2 linked regions of the Cricetulus griseus genome follow. The protein of the gene in region 2 interacts with the protein of the main gene of each other region in a biochemical or structural test. Links are inferred from orthologs where the notes say so. Each region holds a gene or a part of one and is shown on either strand. Other genes may lie near its edges. The genes, in order: protein argonaute-1 and Tnrc6b.

Region 1 (10,286 bases), about 350 Mb from region 2:
TTGTCACTAAGTATTGGTTTTTGTTTTGTTTTGTTTTTTATTTATTTACTTATTTATTTGATGTGCTATCAGAGCCCATAGAAATGGCTCTGCTTTATCTTGACTTAAGGTCAGTGAGTTGAGACCTATCTTTACTCTTTCAAGGCTAAACTCATAAGACCTAAAGGCCTAAGGCATGGCTATTGAAGTGTGTTTGTCCTAAGGAAACTACAGATGGTGCCCAACATGGGGCATAAACAGATGGTCCTCAACATACAATGTGCACTGGTGTTTTGCCTGTATATACTCTGTGTGAGGGTGCTGGATCCCCTGGAACTGGAGTTAGACAGTTGTGAACTGCCTTGTGGGTGCTGGGAATTGAACCCCAGTCCTCTGGAAGAACAATCAGTGCTCTTAACTGCTGAACCATCTCTCCAACCTCTTGGCATTGTTTTTGATCTCCATCTTGTGTGTAGGACAGAGGAACCAAGTAGCAGGATGTTCCTTATACTAACAATACTGCCAGCCAATGGGAATAGTGATTTCTGTGGCTGGAGATTCAGCTCACTCAGTAGAGGGCTTGCTTAGTATGCATACGGCCCTGGGTTCATTCATTCACACGTACACACAATGCTCCCCAACACACACAAAAGCAAAAAGGAAATAATGATTCCTACACTTTCTATATCTCAGGGACTCAAGAATTTTGAGCCATTTCTGCTCCTCCTGGTTGGTTACAGACAGAGCAATGTACTTCCTGCCACCATTGGAGAGCTGCCATAGGCATCTAGTTTGCTTATATTACATTGGGTTTTTAATATTCAAAAGAGCTGTGTACTTAGTCCTTGGGTAAATAATAATGTGTGCTATAATTTACTGAGTGCAGTGTTCCAGAACTGTGCTCAGCTCTTTAGTGTTTTATTTAATCTTTAGACACCCTGTGGGCTTGTAATTATTCTCATTTAATACATGAGACCTGATCACAGACCTGGTCACAATGTATTTTTGTATAAAGGACTCTGTAGTCCTTTTCCCACTTCTGTTAGCTAAGGTACTGTAAAAGGATAGGCTGTGCTCAGACTGTAACTCCTTCTCCACTCATTTTCTCAGGTCTGTAACATTGTGGCCGGGCAGCGGTGCATTAAGAAGTTGACTGACAACCAGACCTCAACCATGATAAAGGCTACAGCTAGGTCGGCCCCAGACAGACAGGAGGAGATCAGTCGCCTGGTCAGTGGGACTGCTGAGCAGTGCATGCTTGTTCACTGAGCCTTTGGGGCCCTTGGTAGGGTAGATGCTTTCCTTCAGGAAACCCTGACTGGACTTATTGTCTGGGACTTTGCAGGCTGCTCTTGCTTCTTGATCCTTCAGCTGCTCTTTCTCTCTTTCCCTCCTTTCTAACTCAACTCCCATTTGCACTCCCACTCCCTTCATTTTCTATTTCTCCTACCCCCTTTTCAGGGCTATTTCTTGGCAGCCTCAGCTTCTCTTCAGGGCTCTGTCCTTGGGACCCAGAACATGAGCAGTATTGCCAAGCTGCTGGTCTCCTGAGATCCCCTTCTTTTGCCCCGCAGATGAAGAATGCCAGCTACAACTTAGATCCCTACATCCAGGAATTTGGAATCAAAGTGAAGGATGACATGACGGAGGTGACGGGGCGAGTGCTGCCGGCGCCCATCTTGCAATATGGCGGCCGGGTGAGCAGGGTCAGGGCCAGACAACATCTCTGGGGCATATGGGGGTAGTTGGGTTACATAGCTTAGGGGCTTTTGCTCCCTCCTCACATGGCTCTACTGAGGCTCACCTGGGCGCCCCCTCTACCTGTCCCTAGAATCGGGCCATTGCTACACCCAACCAAGGTGTCTGGGACATGCGTGGGAAACAATTCTACAATGGCATTGAGATCAAAGTCTGGGCCATCGCCTGCTTCGCACCCCAAAAACAATGTCGAGAAGAAGTGCTCAAGTAAGGATGGAAGAGAGTTGGGTTTTGGGGATGGGGGTGGGTGGGGGTGGGAAGGATCCCAGACCTGTTGATCTTATAACCTCCAGGGGTCTAGATTGATCTGTCTTTCCTCTTTTAACTCTGTTTTGTTTTTTGGTTTTTTTTCGTGACTCACATTTCTGCCTATTTTCTATGCATATGTGATCAGAAGACTTGAGGAGCCATATCTATATCAGACATGAATTTTAGGGTATGACTCTCCTAAAGGAGGCCTGAGTCATTTTATTGTTCTAATTATCATAATTAGTAATAAGTAGTAGTGGTAATAACCATAATGCTTATGCTAACATTACACTTAAGTGACTAATTTATGTTCTTTCATCTTGATAGTGAGTAGGTGGTGTCTTAGTTGTTTTTCTATTGCTATAATAAACACCGTGACCCCTTATAAAATAAAGAGTTTATTGGGCCTTACAGCACCAGAGGATGAGTCCATTACCATTGTTGCAGGATAGGCCACATGGCACTGGAGCAATAGCTGAGAGTTTACATCTGATCAAACAAGAGGAGAGAGGGAGTGAACTGGAATGGCATGTGCTTTTGAAACCTCGAAGTCCATCTTCCAGTGACCCATCTCCTCTAACAACGCCACCCCTCCTAATCCTTCAAACAGTTTTACCAACTGGGGACCAGGCATTCAAATATATGAGCCTATGGGGGCCTGTTCTCATTCAAACCACCGTATGAGGTAATATTTCAGGAGACTAAGGCTGAAAGAGATTGAATAACTTGTCCAAAGTGTGCACATCAGGAAAGGTTCAGATCTGAGCTTCTAATTAGAAACATTTTTTTTTGCTATCAAGGACTAGCAGCTGGTCCTCTGCTGTACTCATCAGGACATAGTTAAGTGAGCTGCAAGTGCCCTGAAATAGGTGCACATGAATTGAGAGGCAGGCCCCCTCATCATCCTTGAGAAGCTGGGAGTACATGACAGCAAGGAAGAAAACGATAACACAAATTAGCTTAAAGAAACAGGTTAGAGAATTAACAGCCTGACTGAGTAAATAAACAAGTAGCAAAGTCACTTGACACTTTCCCTATAGTCTTTAGTTTTTAAAGTTTTATTGAGTTAGCTTACAACACCAAAAAGTGCACCTATATACAACTATGGTTCAGACTCTGCTGTCTTTTTATGTGGTGGCTCTGGAGATGGAGAGTGGATCATTGTATTCTGGTAATGAGGAAATCAGTGGAGCTGACCATTTTGGTCATGACAAAGGTAATAGAGATTTGTGCTCCTGTTGGATCCAGGCCTTCTAGGCCCTTGTCCTCCCTTCCCCCTGCCAGGCAGACACGTAGCCACCTTCATAATTGTAATTTCTCATCACTGGAATTTTTTGGTTTCCCTATTTATTTTTTAGTCTCCTTTCCTAGATTTGTTAGATTTAGGCCAGGCTGTTCTTGCATTTGGTTTGGCATTGTAGCAATACTGGAATACCAGGCTAGTCAGATTATTTATGCCATAATAATCTCATTGGTAGCTCTTTTTCCTACTTTTTTTATCCTGCCCTTGTCCGAGTGTTTGTTTTTTTTTTGTGTGTGTTTCTAAATAATCTATAGTTTTGACCTTTCCGGTTCACCAGAAATTGATAAACCTAGGATCTCATGTTTGGAAGAGTTCAGTGCATTAAGCACCCTTTTTTCTCAGTGACCCCTACATGCAGAGCATAAAAAAGTAACTTGTGTATGAGGATCAGTGGTACCTAATTTAATGCATGATTCTGGGCCAAAGATAAAGATTTCTCAGCCATGAAAACTACGTTATGTAGTAGAGACTCCCTGAGACTATGCATAGAAAGTAGAAATTGGAAATAGAATTTAGAAAAACTGGAAAGTAATGAGGCAAATGTTCCTAAGGACATGAGACTCAGAGTATAGAGAAAAACATTCTTTTCACAAAGACAGTGGGAGAAGCAGAGGCTGCTGTGTGGAGTTGGGGAAATTTGTCAGTGATGGATAAACATAGTCAATCCTATTTTTTTTTATCTGTCTTCATCACTGTGGTTGTGTCATTGTTTGGATACAGCCTTCCACATGCCTCTGCCTCTGCCTCCCTCCCTCCCGAGTGCTGGAATTAAAGTATGCCACCACTGCCTGGCTGGTAAAAAAAGAGTTTTGATTAAGGTTTTAGTAGCTATACTACATTTGTATATAAAGCAGACCATTAAAGCCCTATTATAGGAGGCAATGATTAGCTTGTATTGAGTTTTTCATTTATTTGTTTATTCATTTAGTCATTCAGTTTTTGAGTGGGGTATTCTTGGGATGATGTATCTCTCAGGCTGGCCTCAAATTCATGGTGGTTCTCCTGACTCAGTCAGAAATGTCAGGATTATGAGTGTTATATTTGCTTTGAGACCTACAGATTATATGTTTTTTAATGTCATTATTTATTAATTTTTATTTGTTTAAAAATATTTTATAAATAATGTAGCTAGCAGACATGATACCTCATGCCTATAATACCAATATTCAAAATGCACAGTCGGGAAATTGCCTTATGTTTGAGGCCATCTGGGGCTACATATAGTGAATACCAGGCTAGTCAGGCCTACATAGTGAAACTATAGCTCAAAAAAACCCAAAACAATTGTCTTAGGGTTTCTGTTGCTGTGATAAAACTCCATGATAACTTGATGAGGAAAGAGTTTATTTTGCTTACCGTTCCACATCTCAGTCCGTCACTGAGGGAACTTGGCAAGAACTGAAGTAGAAGCCATGGAGGAGTGCTACTTACTAGCTTGTTCAACCTGCTTTCTTATGCACCAGAGACCCTGCCCAGGGCTAGCAATACCTCCATGGGCTGGGCCCTTCCATGTCAATCATTAATTGAGAAAAGGCCCGAAAGGCTTTTCTGCAGGTGAATCTTAATGGAAGCATTTTCTCAATTGAGGATCCCTCTTCAAAGATGGCTCTAGCTTTTTGTTATGAAAAGTTAGCCAGCACAATAATAGTAATAATAATGTAGAAATAATATAGTCCTACATAGTCAACATTCATAGTTTTATCATGTTTACTTCAGTCTTTTTAAAAAATACAAATTTGACATTTTTTGATGCCCTGCATTCTGGTTTCATTCTTCTCTTCTGATGCAGTTGCTGGTGTGGATTATAATCTTCTTACCTAGTTTTTTTTATGGATGCATATCATTTTAAATTTGTATAAAATAGGCTGTGTCTACATATTTTTACTAAATATGGAAAAAAAACGAGTCCTGAGCTATCATTGATATGTATGCCGTATATATTTTTGAAACATTCATTCACTGCTTTTATTAATTAAGTTGTTCAATGCTGAGTGTGAATCCAACCCCTTGTACAAGCCAGACAGGCACTTCACTGCTGGTTGCTTTGCCTTAAATGATAATATTTTTATGAATTAAATTGCTTGCCACTCATTTTTGTATATATGTATATATATATATTAATATATATATATATTCAAGTTAGGGAACAAGCTTGTTTCACATGTAAGTCCCTTCTCCCTCTCCCTCCCCTCACCCCCTCATTTTTGTATATTTATGTAGCTTGATTATTTTACTGTACTATAGCCACCCTCTTTATCAACTCTGTTGCCTTTCTCAGGGTAAAACCTAAAGCCAGAGGAAAGAAACTCGTTTTTCCCTGAGCATTTATCTTCTGTGCTTCCATCCTTATTTACTTTGGGCACAAAGGCCTTACACTTAGGCATCTGTTTGTTGTTTGTTTTCCCCTGTGGACATGTAATGGGGTACAGACATCCATAGGTCTCACTCAGACAGAGAAAGACGAGAGCCCTGAGAAATCCCACAAGTCCCTTGTCTGTTCTCTTCAGCTCCTTTTGTGTTCTCTTTAGTTGAGCAAGCTCTGCCTTGTTTTCCTCTACTATAAATGTAATTTTTCCATCTGCTGTGGTTGGATCTTTCATGTTAGACTCTCATGGTACTGAGTACCTAAGATGGAGGCATTTGGTCCATCAGACTCAGTGAGATTTATTACATCTTGCCATGACCATGTTTGTGCCACAGGAACTTCACAGACCAGCTGCGGAAGATTTCCAAGGATGCGGGGATGCCCATCCAGGGTCAGCCTTGTTTCTGCAAATATGCACAGGGAGCAGATAGTGTGGAGCCCATGTTCCGGCATCTAAAGAACACCTACTCAGGACTGCAGCTCATTATCGTCATCCTGCCAGGGAAGACGCCTGTGTATGGTACAGTTCTCCTGGGACAGTAATAATGATAGGATTCGCTTAACAATAGTTCTCTAGGGGCTTGTAGGGAGGAGTAAGTGAAGAATTTTGGCTTTATCCAGAGATGTTTATTAATGTCAGTTTTTTTGTTTGTTGTTGTTGTTGTTTTTAAATCAGAGAAATACTGCCTGAACTGTTGAGTCACATTTGGTTTTACTTACTTGTCACACTCATTGTCACATTTTCTAGGCTCTTCTGTGATAGGGTTTTGTGCCAGGCTGATGTAGTGGGACACAGAGTTGGGTCAGGCCAGATAGCTGTCACTTGGGAGTGTGGTATATATTAGGATATTATGAGCTCAAGCTGAATATGGGGTATTCTGCTATAATTCTGCCTAGTAGTAGCTTGGACTTTTTGCAACATTTCTCCTTGTTTCCTCTTTCTTATATTGCAAACACCTATTAGTCTATTACTCTGTATTCCTCTATTATCTTGGCCTGTTTTAAAAATTGTACTGTCCCTTTTACTTCACTTCTCTGTTTTTGTTCCCATCCAGTTTGGGTACCTTTGGGACGTCATACCTCTAAACCTTTGAACATGTACAGATTAACTGCCCAAAGCACATTCTAGCAATTTTGCAATGTCTTTAAGCATCTTTTTTCCTAATGTTTTTCTTTTTTTTCTTATTTTTTATTAGTTCAAATTAGAAACAAGCCTGCTTCACATGTCAATCCTCTCTTTCCCCTCCCCCTATTGTTTTTCTTTTTCTTTCTTTTTTTTTGTAATATTTTTATTAGTTCAAATTAGGAACAAGCTTGTTTCACGTCTATCCTTCTCCCTCTCCCCCTCACCTACCCCCTAACCTCATCGATCCTCCACTCCCCAGGCAGGGTAGGGCCCTGGACGGGGGCTCCCCAAAGTCCACCACATCATTCTGGTCTGGGCCATCCCTTCCTGTGGGATGGGCTCTCAAAGTCCCTTCTTACACCAGGGAAAAATACTAATCCACCACCAGGGGCCCCCTAGAGTGCGGAGGCCTCTTCATTGACATCCATGTTCAGGGGTCTGGATCAGTCCTGTACTGGCCTCCCAGGCAGCAGTCTGGGGTCAATGTGCTCCCCCTAGTACAGGCCAGCTGTTTCTGTGGGTTTCATTTCACCAGCCTGGTACTGACCCCTTTGATCTTCATTCCTCCCTCTCTGCAACTAAGTTCCAGAGTTCAGTTCAGTGTATATCTGTAGGTGTCTGCCTCTGCTTCCTTCAGCCACTGGATGAGGGCTCTAGGATGGCATAAAAAGTAGTCATCAGTCTTATTATAGGGGAAGGGCATTTAGGTTATCCTCTCCATCATTGCCTAGATTGTCAGTTCGTGTCATCCTTGAAGGTCTCCAGAAATCTCCCTAGTGCCAGATCTCTCCTCGGACCTATAATGGCTCCCTCTGTTATGGTATCTCTCATCCTGCTTCCTCTATTCTTCCTCCAACTCAACCTTTCTGCTCCTCCATTTCCTCCTCTCCTCTCCTCTCCTCTCCTCTCCTCTCCTCTCCTCTCCTCTCCTCTCTCCTCTCTCTCCTCTCCTCTCTCCTCTCCTCTCCTCTCCTCTCCTCTCCTCTCCTCCTTTCACTCTGGCAGCTCCCTCTGCCCTACCCTCATGCTCCCAATTAGCTCAAGAGTTCCTGCTGCTTCCCATTCCTGGGGTCCATGCATTTTTCCCTTAGAGTCCTTCATGTTTCCTAGTTTCTTTGGTGAAGAGGATTATAGGCTGGTAATCCTTTGCTCTGTGTCTAAAATTCATATATAACTGAGTACATAACATGTTTGTCTTTTTGTGACTGGGTTACCTCACTCAGGATGGTTTCTTCTAGTTCCATCCATTTGCCTGTGAATTTCAAGATTCCATTGCTTTTTTTCTGCTGAGTAGTACTCCATTGTATAAATGTACCACATTTTCTCAATCCATTCTTCAGTTTTGGGTCATCTAGGTTGCTTCCAGGTTCTGGCTATTACAAACAATGCTGCTATGAACATGGTTGAACATATGTCCTTGTTGTATGGACGTGAATTATTTGGGTATATGCCCAAGAGAGGAATTGTTGGATCTTGAGGTAGACTGATTCCCATTTTTCTGAGCAACTGCCATACTGATTTCCAAAGTAGTCTTACAAGTTTGCACTCCCACCAGCAAATGAGGAGTGTTCCTTTTTCTCCACATCCTCTCCAGCATAGATTGTCATTGGTGTTTTTGATTTTAGCCATTCTGACAGGTGTGAGGTGGTATCTCAGAGTTGGTTTGAGTTGTATTTCTCTGATGACCAAGGATTTTGATCACTTTCTTAAGTGTCTTTCAGCCATTTTAGATTCCTCTGTTGAGAATTCTCTATTTAGTTCTGCACCCCACTTTTTAATTTCATTGTTTGGTGTTTTCGTGGTTAGCTTCTTGAGTTAATTTTTTTTTTTTTTTAAGATTTATTTATTTATGTATAGTGTTCTGTCTGCTATCCCTGCAGGCCAGAAGAGGGCACCAGATCTCATTACAGATGGTTGTGTGAACCACCATGTGGTTGCTGGGAATAGAACTCAGGTCGTCCATGTGTGTGTCCGCTGCCCCCCCCCCCAAAAAAAAAAGAGTATGTAAATTTTGCTGGGTGTTGGTGGCGCATGCCTTTAATCCCAGCACTTGGGAGGCAGAGGCAGGCAATCTCTGTGAGTTCGTGGCCAGCCTGGTCTCCAGAGCAAGTGCCAGGATAGGCTCCAAAGCTACACAGAGAAACCATGTCTCAAAAAAACCAAAAAAAAAAAAAAAAAAAAAAAAAAAGAACTTAGTAAGAGCAGCCAGTGCTCTTAATCTCTGAGCTATCTCTCTAGCCCTTGTTTTTCTTTTTTAACGAGTTGTTTTTCTTATTCTACATGCAAACTTCCTCAACAGCCACTTACTCCGTAGCCTGCTTCCCTTTATCTCATTCTCCTCACTCAGCTGTGGGATTGGGAACCTTGGTTTTCACTTCCTTTGACTTCCAGATACATTTCTTGTCTATTTTGTCATTATTGGGAATGCCTGGTATGCTAAAATTTCTTTCCTCTTCCTTTCATCTGTCTTACTGATATTCTCACTCATTTTGGCTTTGGCCATTACCTATTACCTTAATATAGTAATTTTTGCTTGTTTTTTTTTTTTTTCCTAAGATGGCTTGTGAACCATGTGGTGGCTGGGAATTGAACTCAGGACTTCTGGAGTGCTCTTAACCACTGAGCAATCTCTCCAGCCCCATACTCTTAAAACAAGTCATTGAATTCTCTTTGTCTTCTCCTTCTACAGGATTATTGATCATCTCTTCAAATCTTACTTCTCAAGGAAATTTTTAAACATTTTATTTATATAGTGGCATAGTGTGTGTGTGTGTGTGTGTGTGTGTGTGTGTGTGTGTGTGTGTGTGTGTGTGTGTGTGTGTTGTGTGTTGTACCTCTGCCACAGTAGTATGTGAATGGATGTTGGAAGATAACTTGAAGAATTGGTTCTCATCTTTTACGAAATAAATTCCCAAGATTGGACTCAGGTCCTCAGGCTTTGTTACAAGCACCTTCCCCCTACACCCCTGCTGAGCCAACACTAGTCCCTCATACCTTTCATGAATAGGTTAATAAATCAGACTTTTTTAAAAAACAACATCAAAGCCCCCAAACTTCACTGGTCTTCATTCAGTGCTTCATGTTTAACCTTTCAGCTTTTTCCTGTATTATTCACATAACAAACTTACTACAAGGTTACTTGTTCTGAAATGAGAACCCAATCTCAGTTTTTCCTTTACCAGTCAACCAATTAAGGCAAATTACCAAACTCCTCTGAGCGTCGGTTATGTAAAAAGCAGCATCTAGCAGAGTCCTTGACAAGAGCCAGCACTTTGAATGCTCATTCTTTGTTTGTGCTTTCCAGTCTACTCACATAGTTTTCCCTTTGCTTAGAATGTATGAATCTTCTCTATGCCTATCTTACCCTTAAAATTTCCTCCACCTTTCAAAACCTCGTTTAGATTATACTTATTTTCTATTATCCTCTTTTTTTTTTTTTTTTTTTTTTTTTTTTTTTTTTTTTTTGAGAGAGACAGGGTCTTACTATGTAGCTCTGGATGGCCTGC
Region 2 (10,745 bases):
GGTAGATTCTTAAAACTCTTTGAATGTCCCATTCCTCTCTCATAATTTATTCATTTCTTATTTTTCCTTTGGCCTTTGTGTTTTACTAATTTATATAATGGTTTATAACATCTTCTAGCAATACTTACAACGATCTTATGTCACCCCAGATAGTGGAATCCCCTTCAGACTGTCTTCTAATTTAAGGACTCCTATTTTGTGGCAAGCAGTCTGTTTTCATATTAAACTTTCCGGGACTGAACCCCTGAATTAGTGTTTTGGTATGCTCCCTCCCAATAACTGGTTCTTTTAGTTAAGAATGGTACTTAATAGCTGCAAGTCTTTGTGCTAAATTGGATTTAATCTCTGCCAGCTTACCTCTAGTTTCAATGGGATTCCTTGCCGCAGGGAAATAAGGTAGATTTTGACCATCTGAACACCCAATGCCTTCCTCTGGCCAGCACACAAATGTGTGCACACACATGCTAGCTAAATAGGCTATTACTATTTGAATATTCCTTATTTTGTAGCCTCACAGTTACAGATATAGGGAGGGAGGGTGGGGGAAAGGAGAGAGAATAAGTACATAGGTAGTTACATGTATATGTTATGTCTGTTTATTGAAAACAATGAGTACATGTTGGTCACCAATTTAGATCCAACTCCATGTGTTTGGTTTTTTCCCCATTGCATTTTTGTAACTCCTTTTTTTTTTTTTTTTTTTTTTTTTTTTTTTTGGTTTTAGAAACCTGGATGCTGTTGTCCTACTAACCTACTTTATTGTCACCCTTCTATGTGCTAGTGCCTTCCCATTGCCATTGGAGTGGGTGTCCTCCTTGCTCTGCTTGGGCTCTGAGTCAGTACAGGGATCTTTTAGAGCTCCCCAAATGGTATTTCTTATAGATAGGGAACACCTGAATTAAGAGGCGAGTCCCACACTGTTTGAGTCAAGCAAGTCAGTGGTGGGCTTTCAAATATAGTTTGGCAAAGTAAAAATTCCCTAAGAAGGTAAAAGGTAAGGAGAAGACTTAAATTCTACCAAGATGCTGTTGAAAAACAAAAAGAAAAAACAGGGAGAAAGCAAAGCTTGCCTCCTAGAAAGCTTTGAAAAGTATTTGCTTTGAATAGAAATATCCTTCTAGTGTACATGAATTTCATTCTCTTCCCTGAATTACTTGTTTATAGGAAAGAATTTGAAAAAGTTAGTTGTTTTTTGAGAATGTATCTTGTTAAAAAACCTTTTTTAGTGTAGCATTTTAAATATAAATTTAATTTTGGAAATTTTAGACATAAAAATGACAACTTGATTTTTAAGCAGGAGATGTTTGGACTGTGACTGTCCCTCTTCTGTAAGCAGTTTCACTATGCAATGTGGGAACTAAGTTGTAGTAACAGGAACTCTCATCCTCTCCTTTTGCTCCATGAGAGGCATCACAGCATCCCTAAATTTAACAGGAAAGTAAATAATTTTTTAAAATACTGTTTTGTGGATTTTTGTTTGTTTGTTTTTGACAAAGTGTCCCTATGTAGCTAGCTTATAACTCAGCAATCCTCCTCACTCTTTCCCAGAGTGTATCCCACATGCTGGAATTACCCACTGCCATGTCTGGTGTAGGAAATTCTTGTTTTCTATGGGGAAAATACTGATGGTCTATTCATGAGTGCCCACTTTAGTTCTTGCCCTGTTTGCTTTGTGTAGTTGAATGTTTTTGACTAGATCCACTTTCTTCCCTAGACTCTACTCCCTCTGGAACCATTTTTGTGGGTTTGCCACTTGCAACTTTATTAGTTCCTTGTTTCTTTAATCTTTTTATCTTGGTCATAGTCTAGATGATGTCTGTGAAGCCATGAGCTAATATGTTATTACTTAAAATCCTAACTGCCATAGGCTGTGTCTGTTCCCTGCTGTGGGGACTTCCCACAGCTATGTCTCTGACTGCTTTCCTCACCAAGGTTCAGTTGGTGAGGGGCTTGTTGCCCAGTGGGAACTCTGTAGTTGAGGTTATATTCTTGGTTAGTTGGCCTTTTTTCTCAGTAGATACATAGAATGAAAGCTGTTGGGCATTAGAATAAATGTTATATTTCTTTCTTTCTTTCTTTCTTTCTTTCTTTCTTTCTTTCTTTTTATGCAAATAGCACGAGGCTTTAATGCAGTTGTTTAACGAGCTAACCCCTAGCTTGGGCCTTTCGTCCACCCACTATGGCGGATGGCTCAGGAAAGACCAATAAATGTTATATTTCAAAGGTACTTTGGATTTGCAATGTAAATTGTATAATTTTAAGATGTAGCACAATTCCTCAACTGGAGGTCTATTAATATGCATTGGTGTTTTGGGGGGGGTTGGTTTTGTTTTGTTTTGTTGTTTGTTTTTGTTTGTTTTTCTGCTGAGTGGAACAGATTGACTTGATTTGTGTTTGTAGGAAAAAGATACAGCTATGAACCCACATACCTTCCTTAAAAACACATATAGTGAGATCAGATCTGAACTCCTTTGGTGGGGATGGGGGAGTGTCGAGACAGGGTTTCTCTGTGCAGCCCTAGGTGTCCTGGAATTCACTCTATAGACCAGGCTGGCCTGGAACTCACAGTGATCCGCCTCCCGAGTGCTGGGATTAAAGGCGTGTATGTGCTGCTGCTGCTGCCACCACCCTTTTAATTTATGCTTTTGTTTTAGGAAAAACAAAAAACAAAAAAACTGGCAAGTGGTGCATACCTGTAATCCCAGCTCTAGGACAGAGGGTTACAGTTCAGAGGCCAGTAGATTCCTAGGGTTTACCAGCCACTCAGTCTACTAAAAACAGCAAGCTCTAGGTTCCATCTCAAAAAAAAAAAAAAAAAAAAAAAGAGGTGGAGGGGCTAGAAGAATGGCTCAGAGTATTTGCTCTTCTTCCAGATCAATTCCTAGCACTCAGTTGGTGGTTCACAGCCTTCTTTAACTCCTGTTCCTGAGATCCGATGCCCTCTTCTGGCCTCCTCAGGCACCAGCACACCTATAGTACAGACAAAACACCCATACCCCTAAAATTAAATTAAATTTTAAAAAAAAGCTAGAGTGATGGAGGAAGAAACCCAGTCTATTAGAAGCCATCTATGTATTATATTCAAAGCAAACCCACTACTAAGTAAAAGTACATTAATAATTCTCTTGAATGTGTCTATATACAGATACTATAGAAATGCTTGTAGGCCTCTTTGAAACCAAGCTTAATGTAATGGATGTTTTATGAAAGGGATGGCAAGCCATGACATGGGAATACCCAACAGGCATGAGTTTTATATGTTCTTTTGGTTTAAGTAAGTTATTAGTACTGTGATCTTTGCTACAGAAGTGGAATGTAGATGTGTGTATATAACCTTTACAGTGTGTTACTTCTTTTACAGAGAGAAGGAGCAAGAAAGGGAAGAACAGTTAATGGAAGACAAGAAAAGGAAGAAAGAGGATAAAAAGAAAAAAGAAGCCACCCAGAAGGTGAGTTGGGCATTTAGGTCTGTCTTCATATTTGCCGGGCATCCATAATTAGTGACTGCCTTACTTGAATACCTGATAATGCTGCCCAAGACATTAGTTTGTTTGAAAGTTTAAAAATTTGAATGGATGGTGGTGGGCTGAATGTCTACTTAGTAAAGTGTGTTTTGAGTTCAGTCCTCAGCACTGGAGGGAGAAAAAAAATGAATGATGCCAGTGTAACTTTATTAAAACATTGACTTTCATTTAGGGCTAAAATTAAATTTCTTCCAAACAGAAATTAAACATGAACCCCTTTTCACTGTATTCAGTGGCAGCTTACTCTTTCCAGAACCATTCCTGAGTAAACCATATTAAATTCCCATTCATGAGAGAGGTGTAAAGAAGGACTCCATTCATTCATTAGGCTGATGCTGCAAAAGGAGCATTGTGTAATGTTGGCAGGACTTGGATTCTAAATGTCCATCTGAGAATTGGCTGTTGTAACAGCACCAGCATTATAAGACATTCAAACATGATTTAGATTTGTTGCTTACAACTGGGAAAAGTATTGACTCTTACACAACTGATCTTCAAAGTAGCATTCCAAGAAATAGTTACAATGGAGTAAAGCCTAAATTGTAGTCATGAATTGGTATGTGGACCAAACCCATTCATTCTTGAATAATTGGGGACTATAGAAAAATGTACGAGGGCTTTTCACTAGAATGGAGCCTGAGCAATTAGTAGTGGGGAGCAGGTTTGTTTGAAGGTACTTTTCCAGAGTGTAGTATAGTACGGTTAGCCTGTCCTTTAATGCAACAATGTAAAAAGCACTCTAGGGAGTCCTAAGAATAGATTGTTTAGGTCAGACTCAGTCTAAGTGTGCTAGGATCTGTTTTGAAGGCTGCTTAGCTACAGGACATGCACTCCACAGATGACCATGTTTTCATAGATGGTAGTGATCCAGAATGATTACCAGCCACACATGACTTTTAAAAACCATGGTAGCTTTCATTTAATTACATTTTGGATAATATATTGGAAGTATATAAAACAGGGCCTACATAAAAATGCACCCTTTTTGTTTTTTTTCGAGACAGGGTTTCTCTGTGTAGCTTTGGAGCCTATACTGGCACTCACAAAAATGCACTTTTTAATATGAATTTGTTTCTCACCATATTTTTGTTTCATCTTTTATTGTTTTGTGAATTTCATACATATATACAATATATATTTTGACTATATTTGCTCCTCCCATTCCTCCCCCCACTCCTCGGATCCACCCCACTGCCAACTCCCAATATCCTGTCTTCTTCATTTTTTTATAGCCCACTGATTGTAATTTGTACTACTCATATAGTCAAGGGTGTGGGGCCATCTACTACTATGCTTAGTAAGGGCCTCACCCTTAAAGAAAGTTTACCCTGCCTCAGAAGCCATCAATTGTCAGTAGGTCCTCAGCTAGAAGTGTGGCTTCTAAGACCCCTCCCCTCTTGGTGCTGGATTATTAACTGGGTTGGTTTTGTGCAAGTGTTTTCTAACTGCTGTGAATTCGTAAGTGCCGTGATTCTGTCAGGTCCAGAACTGTTTTGGTCCTTCTAGCTCTTATTGTCTTTCTGCTCCCTCTTGCTCTGTGGTTCCTGAGCCTTGGGGGCATAGCATTAATTTTTAATAACTCTTCCTACAATGTTTGATGGTCAGTGTAAAAGTGCTTTAGCAGATTGACAGTTTGTAAAAGCGGGTCAGATGTTGTCTTAACAATGTAACAGATCCATGGCTAGGAATCCTGCTTACTTGCTTTGGGATTCTTTTCTTTTGTGGACCTCTTGTGGTTTTGCTTTTATATTATAAGGAGTATATGATGAGTGTCCCTGTGTCATTGCCCCCCACACACACACACACACACACTACCCTGTAGCAATATCAGAAGTAGTTTCCATCTGTCTTCTAAAGATTTCCACATACACATCCCCAAGCCCATTATGTATTTAGCAACTCATCATTTTAGGCTTTTTCATAGAGTCTTACTTATTACTTGAAGTACTTTTAACAAAGCATTCATAAAATTTTGTTCAAAATTTGCACAATTCAGTCTTATATTCTGCTTTATAACTTTTATGATAGCAGCAGGTATCAACTGAACATTGGCATGGCTGTCTGATGTAACCCTTTACCAAAACCCTGCCGGGGGTGGGAGAGGGGTGACTATCTCACTAGATAAATGGGTAATTGAGATCACATAGACTTGGTTTTCTTTTTATATTATTATTTATTTAACTTTATTTTATGTGCATTGGTGTGAAGGTATCAGATCCCCTGGAACTGGAGTTTTAGACAGTTGTGAACTTCCATGTGAGTGCTGGGAATTGAACCCACCCAGGTCCAATTCCACAGCAGCCAATGCTCTTATCCACTGAGCCATCTCTCCAATCCCAGACTTGGTTTTCAAATCTTCCTTTACAACCACGATTGTTGCTTTCAGGATGAGCCCCTCCTGCTTTTTAAGGTTGAGCTCAAAAGTATTTGAGTTCATACTCAGGAGGGAGTCTTTTTGTGTTAATGTTGAGTTTAGTTTCTGGCCATAGCTGTTTGATTTTCTGAAATTAGAGCAATCAGAATGTCTATTCCCAATACAGGGACTATATCATTTAGCAGGTAGATTTTTTTTTTTTTAAGTTACGGGGTTTTTGTTTTTTGTTTTTTGTTTTGCTTTGTTCTGGTGTGTTTGTTTTAAATTTAGATTTCCTCCTAATCTTAGTTGTGTGAGTACAGCTAGACATATGGACATAACTTCTAGAAAGATGTCCAAATTGACTCAGTTGTTTTGGATTTCAGCTAAGCCTGGGCACTGTGTATCCTGACAACTTGAATTGCTTGAGTTAATAGAATTAAAATGCTCTTATAATACAGTACTGAATTTAAAAGCAAATCTGTTATTTGTTTTGCAGGTCACGGAACAAAAAACCAAAGGTAAGATTTTTATCCTCTTTTTGTGTTTAGATTTCACTCTGCTGTTGACTCAGCCTGCAGTGCACTCAGCAGAGAGTGGGTGCACAGTAATTAAGGTGGGTTGTTTGTGGCCACTGAAGAGAGCAGTAATGACAAACTAAAAGCACTCAGCATTGTCTTTCTAGTTGGCCTTACATTTTTAGAAAGCAAAAGGGTAAATATTTTGTTTTAAAACTGTGTGAATCATGATTTTGAACTGAACTCTTTCAGAATTTTTAGTAGAACAGTGACAAACTACCAGCTCCTAGTTTCAGGTGGGAATTGCAGAGTGCACTTACCCATCTTGGTACATGGAATGCATCAAGTCTGAAACTGGAATGTCAAATCTAAAATGTTCACAGCCTTCTGAACTGGGGCCTGGACTGTGGTTTGGTTTGGTTTTTTTTTTTTTTTTTTTTTTATACCAAATTTTGAGTAAGTTAACTTTGCTTTAAAAAACTGATGTGTTGCAAACAGAAGCAAGTGGCCCTTAGGTCATTCTCAATCTAATACTGTCCTTTTCTGTGGGTTTTTTTTTTTTTCTGCTTCCCTAGTTCTAATTATGTAGTTTGTGTTTTGTTTTTAATGATGGTCACTGGATTAGCAAGCCTTAAGAATGGGAGGGAAAATTCCTTGAAATAATGCTTACTTTTGAGCACTTAAACATGTGGTTCTCCATTGGGTGTGCATTAGAATAGTTCAAATAGTCATCAAAATACATGCACTCAGGCTGCTGCCAGATGTTGTGTATCTAGGCTGGAACCCTTGTAGATGTACTTTGAAGTGTCCATGAAACCTCAGAACATGAAAACCATTGCCTTGGCTTAAAAGAAAAAGTCAGATAAGGGTAATGGAGACTTGGATTTGATGAGAGTCCCTTTAATGAGGAGGTGGTTTGGGTGATTTGGTTTGATTTGGTTGATTTTGTGACTAACAGGCCAAAGCATGCCATTCTGTGATAGAAGGCCAGTAAAGGTGGTCCATCTTCATGGGTGTTTTATGTAAGGATAGCTTTCTTAGGAAACCTAATTATGAAAAATAAATTCTCAAATAAGTACATATTAATGTATTATATTTCGAATCAAAGGTTTATCAAAGACTGTCCTGGGACTTTGTAGTGATTTAGAAAGTAAATTGTGAGAAACTGTTGTTATAATTATCTTAATTGGTTAGGAGGATAATGTTCTCCTCCTTGTCTAGTTCAGCCAGTTCCCAACCTACAAGTAGGCTTTCTTCTAGAAAAATCCATCAAATAATATGCATTTTTTCCCTAAGTCTATTTAGAAGTATACTTTGTGAATGGACTTTGGAAACAAATATTTATCAGACTTGGCGGGGGGGGGGGGGGTGGATTCACTATATAGCTATAGCTAATCTGGACCTCATGGTGTTGGACAAGCTGGCCTTGACCTTAAAATGATCCTCCTGCCTCTGCCTCCGAAGTGCTACGATTATAGGCACATGCTAGTGGCCTATTAAAGGACTTTTACAGTGGGCATTGGTGTTTCTTGACCAGCCAGGCTCTGTGTTGGTAAAACATAAGGAATATGGTAGAACTTGGGTTCCTAAGCCTGGCCACTTAAGCCTGCTTCTAGTTTATAGAAAACAAAGCTCACTAGGCAGTTTTTCTCCAGATGGTAATAACGATACCAGGTTTTCACGAGTTCGAGCACACGCACACAGAGTTTTCTCTTCTGCCAAAGTTTTAAAAGTCAAACTTTCCTTCCTACGTACTTCCCTCTCCTTGGGTCTTTTTCATACCTACTGTAGATGAAACATACTTCCCTGTCTCCTTAGTCTTCCTACTCCCTCAATGAGAAAATCAAGTCACATTATCCTAAAGGGAGGGAGATGAGGCCTAGCTTGGGTCTCTAAGGATTTAATTGTTGGAACCAGGGAAAAGGCGGGAAGTTTTAAAAAGCGCATACATATGTACATGCGTGTATACGTTTCTATTTCTATTTGAGGAGTGTCAGACTCACCAGCCTTGCTAGGTTTGTTCCATTTCTTGGTCAAGTCTTTGTTGGGCACTTTCTACCTTGTTCTTTTCCCTGAGCTGACATTTCTGGGTCCTGTTCCTCCCCCGACTGACATTCACCTTCTTAAGCGATCTGCCCTTAACTCTGAATCTACTCTTTCCCCAGCAGAGAAAAAGAAAAGACTGTGTTGGTGCCATGTCTTGGGTTGTACAAGGACTGAAGTAAGATTTTTCTGTATTTCAGAAAAACAGTGGATTGGTTTTTTTGTTCTTCCTTTATCTTCCACTATTAAAAATAGTACAGTAAGAATCCCAGAGAGGAGAGTAGGACAAGGACTTCAGTTAGTTCTCTGAGGACATGGGCTAGCTGTGCCTACTCAGCTAAAAAGAAGAAAAAGCACTTGGGCAAAAATTTAGATTCTCTTTTGTAGATATTAGACAGGAGCAAAACAGTCCCTATAATCAGGCACTAGGTCAGATTTAACTAGGTGAAATTTAACAGGGAAAAGGGTAAGGCTAGGGTTAAAAGCCCAATTACATGAACTACATAATGGCAGAATTTGGCCATAACAATTTAGCCTTGTTAAAGGGTGCTATAGGATGATGATTGCCTTAATGAGAACTATCAGTATGGAATGAAATGACAGGTTTCTAAAAACTAGCATGACCTTTAGCTGCTACAAAGTATCCAGACTGGGAATTGCAGGTCTGTAGATGTCAGTATGGAAAGGGAAGTCTCCATGGACTATGCATATTTTGGGTCAGGTTGGCCAAGAAATTTATCACTTCAGGCAGTTTTAAATATGTGGGGTTGTTTCACTCTCATGTCTTCCTAACTGGGGACCCTCAGGTGGGGCTCTGGTGGCTAGAATGGAACATGTCCACAGTAAATATCTGGGGTTTGTTTTGTTTTTTCCAGTGAGGCTTATTTTGACCCTAGACATACCAAGTATGAGTCAAAGAAGTGGGTGCAAGCTTCCAGATCAATGGGTCAGTTTTTTAGAGACTGTGGTTCAGAGCACTAAATCATAACCTTGCCCCCCTACCCCAGTGGCACATATCTTAAGGGAAGCATTTCCCATGGTCATATCTTGGTTGTGTGTCATTTACTACACTGGCTTCTGAGTTTTTTTCAGGAAGCATAGTATAGTGAGTAATATGGTAGTGGTTCAGATATACTAGCTACAAGGCCCCCAGGTTGTAGAGGCACTTGTGTGTTCTAATAGGTGGGAGCATTTGGTTAGAAATGGAACTAGGGCCAGTGAAATGAATCATTGGGTGAAAGTGTTTGTCATTCAAGCCTGATGATCAGGGTTCAATCTCTAGGTTGGTGGTGGAAGAAGAAAACAAACTCTCAGAAATCGTCCTCTGACCTGTTCACGTTTTGTAGCATGTACACACCTGCATTTTCTCTCATACATAACTATACACACACAAATAAACAAACAAATAGGGAGGTAGGGAGGGAATTGCCTCTCTCTGAGTGAATATGAGCTGTTAGAAAACATACGTTTGAATAAATGAGCGTCAAATTCTCATGTGGGAAGAAACAATGATGGACAGTGCCTGGATAAAACAGTGGTGATAGCTGGGCGTTGGTGGTGCACGCCTTTAATCCCAGCACTCGGGAGGCAGAGGCAAGCAGATCTCTGTGAGTTCTTGTAGACCAGAGTGGTCTACAAGAGCAAGTTCCAGGACAGCCTCCAAAGTCACAGAGAAACCCTGTCTCAAAAACCAAAGGGAAAAAAAAAAAAAGAGGAAGGAAGTAGAGTTGAGCTTTGGGTTCCTAGGGAATGATGTGTGTGTTGGGTGAGGACAGACTGAATCTTAAACACCTCTAGGCTGGAGCGCAAGTTTGGTGATGACTTCACTGTTCTATGAGATAATGGAGCTTAGGGCTGGGACCAAGTTGGAGGGGAGCAGAGAGGATAAAAGAGACCTAAGTTTGAGATAATGGTTTAGGAAACAATTACACAGTGATAATTAAAGCTTCTGCAGAAGAGTGTGTTCTCAAACAGCTCAGTGTAAGAAGTAGGGAACCCCACCTGTTTGTATGGGTAGATGGAAACAACTAACTACTGCAAGTGTCCTCAGTCCACACACACAGACAAATATATGTGATTCAAAAGAAAAAACAACTTAAAGATGTAAACTTATGTGCTCCGTGTGGTGACTTGTACCTGTTATCCCACCCAGACTTGAGAGACTGAGGCAGAATAAAGCTTGTTTCAAAATTCCAAAGTGAGTGAGTGTATGTCTGTGTATGCACATATAGTTAATGGCCAAACTAGCTGCCCTTTTGGAATTATAATTAAAAGGATGTTCAAAAGCAAGGGCTGCTACAAGCTAAA

What was found.
Region 1: the proteins of Tnrc6b (region 2) and protein argonaute-1 form a complex in vitro, tested with the Homo sapiens proteins (2 studies listed by BioGRID and IntAct). The link is inferred for Cricetulus griseus from reciprocal best matches to the Homo sapiens genes TNRC6B and AGO1.

What each region holds. Positions count from the first base shown.
Region 1 is NC_048595.1:26,588,634-26,598,919, forward strand, and holds part of protein argonaute-1, read left to right. Parts: intron 1-1,089; coding exon 1,090-1,209; coding exon of another isoform or gene 1,210-1,229; intron 1,230-1,553; coding exon 1,554-1,685; intron 1,686-1,810; coding exon 1,811-1,944; intron 1,945-5,989; coding exon 5,990-6,174; intron 6,175-10,286.
Region 2 is NC_048595.1:378,017,430-378,028,174, forward strand, and holds the start of Tnrc6b (trinucleotide repeat-containing gene 6B protein), read left to right. Parts: upstream 1-3,376; 5' UTR 3,377-3,392; coding exon 3,393-3,449; intron 3,450-6,376; coding exon 6,377-6,398; intron 6,399-10,745.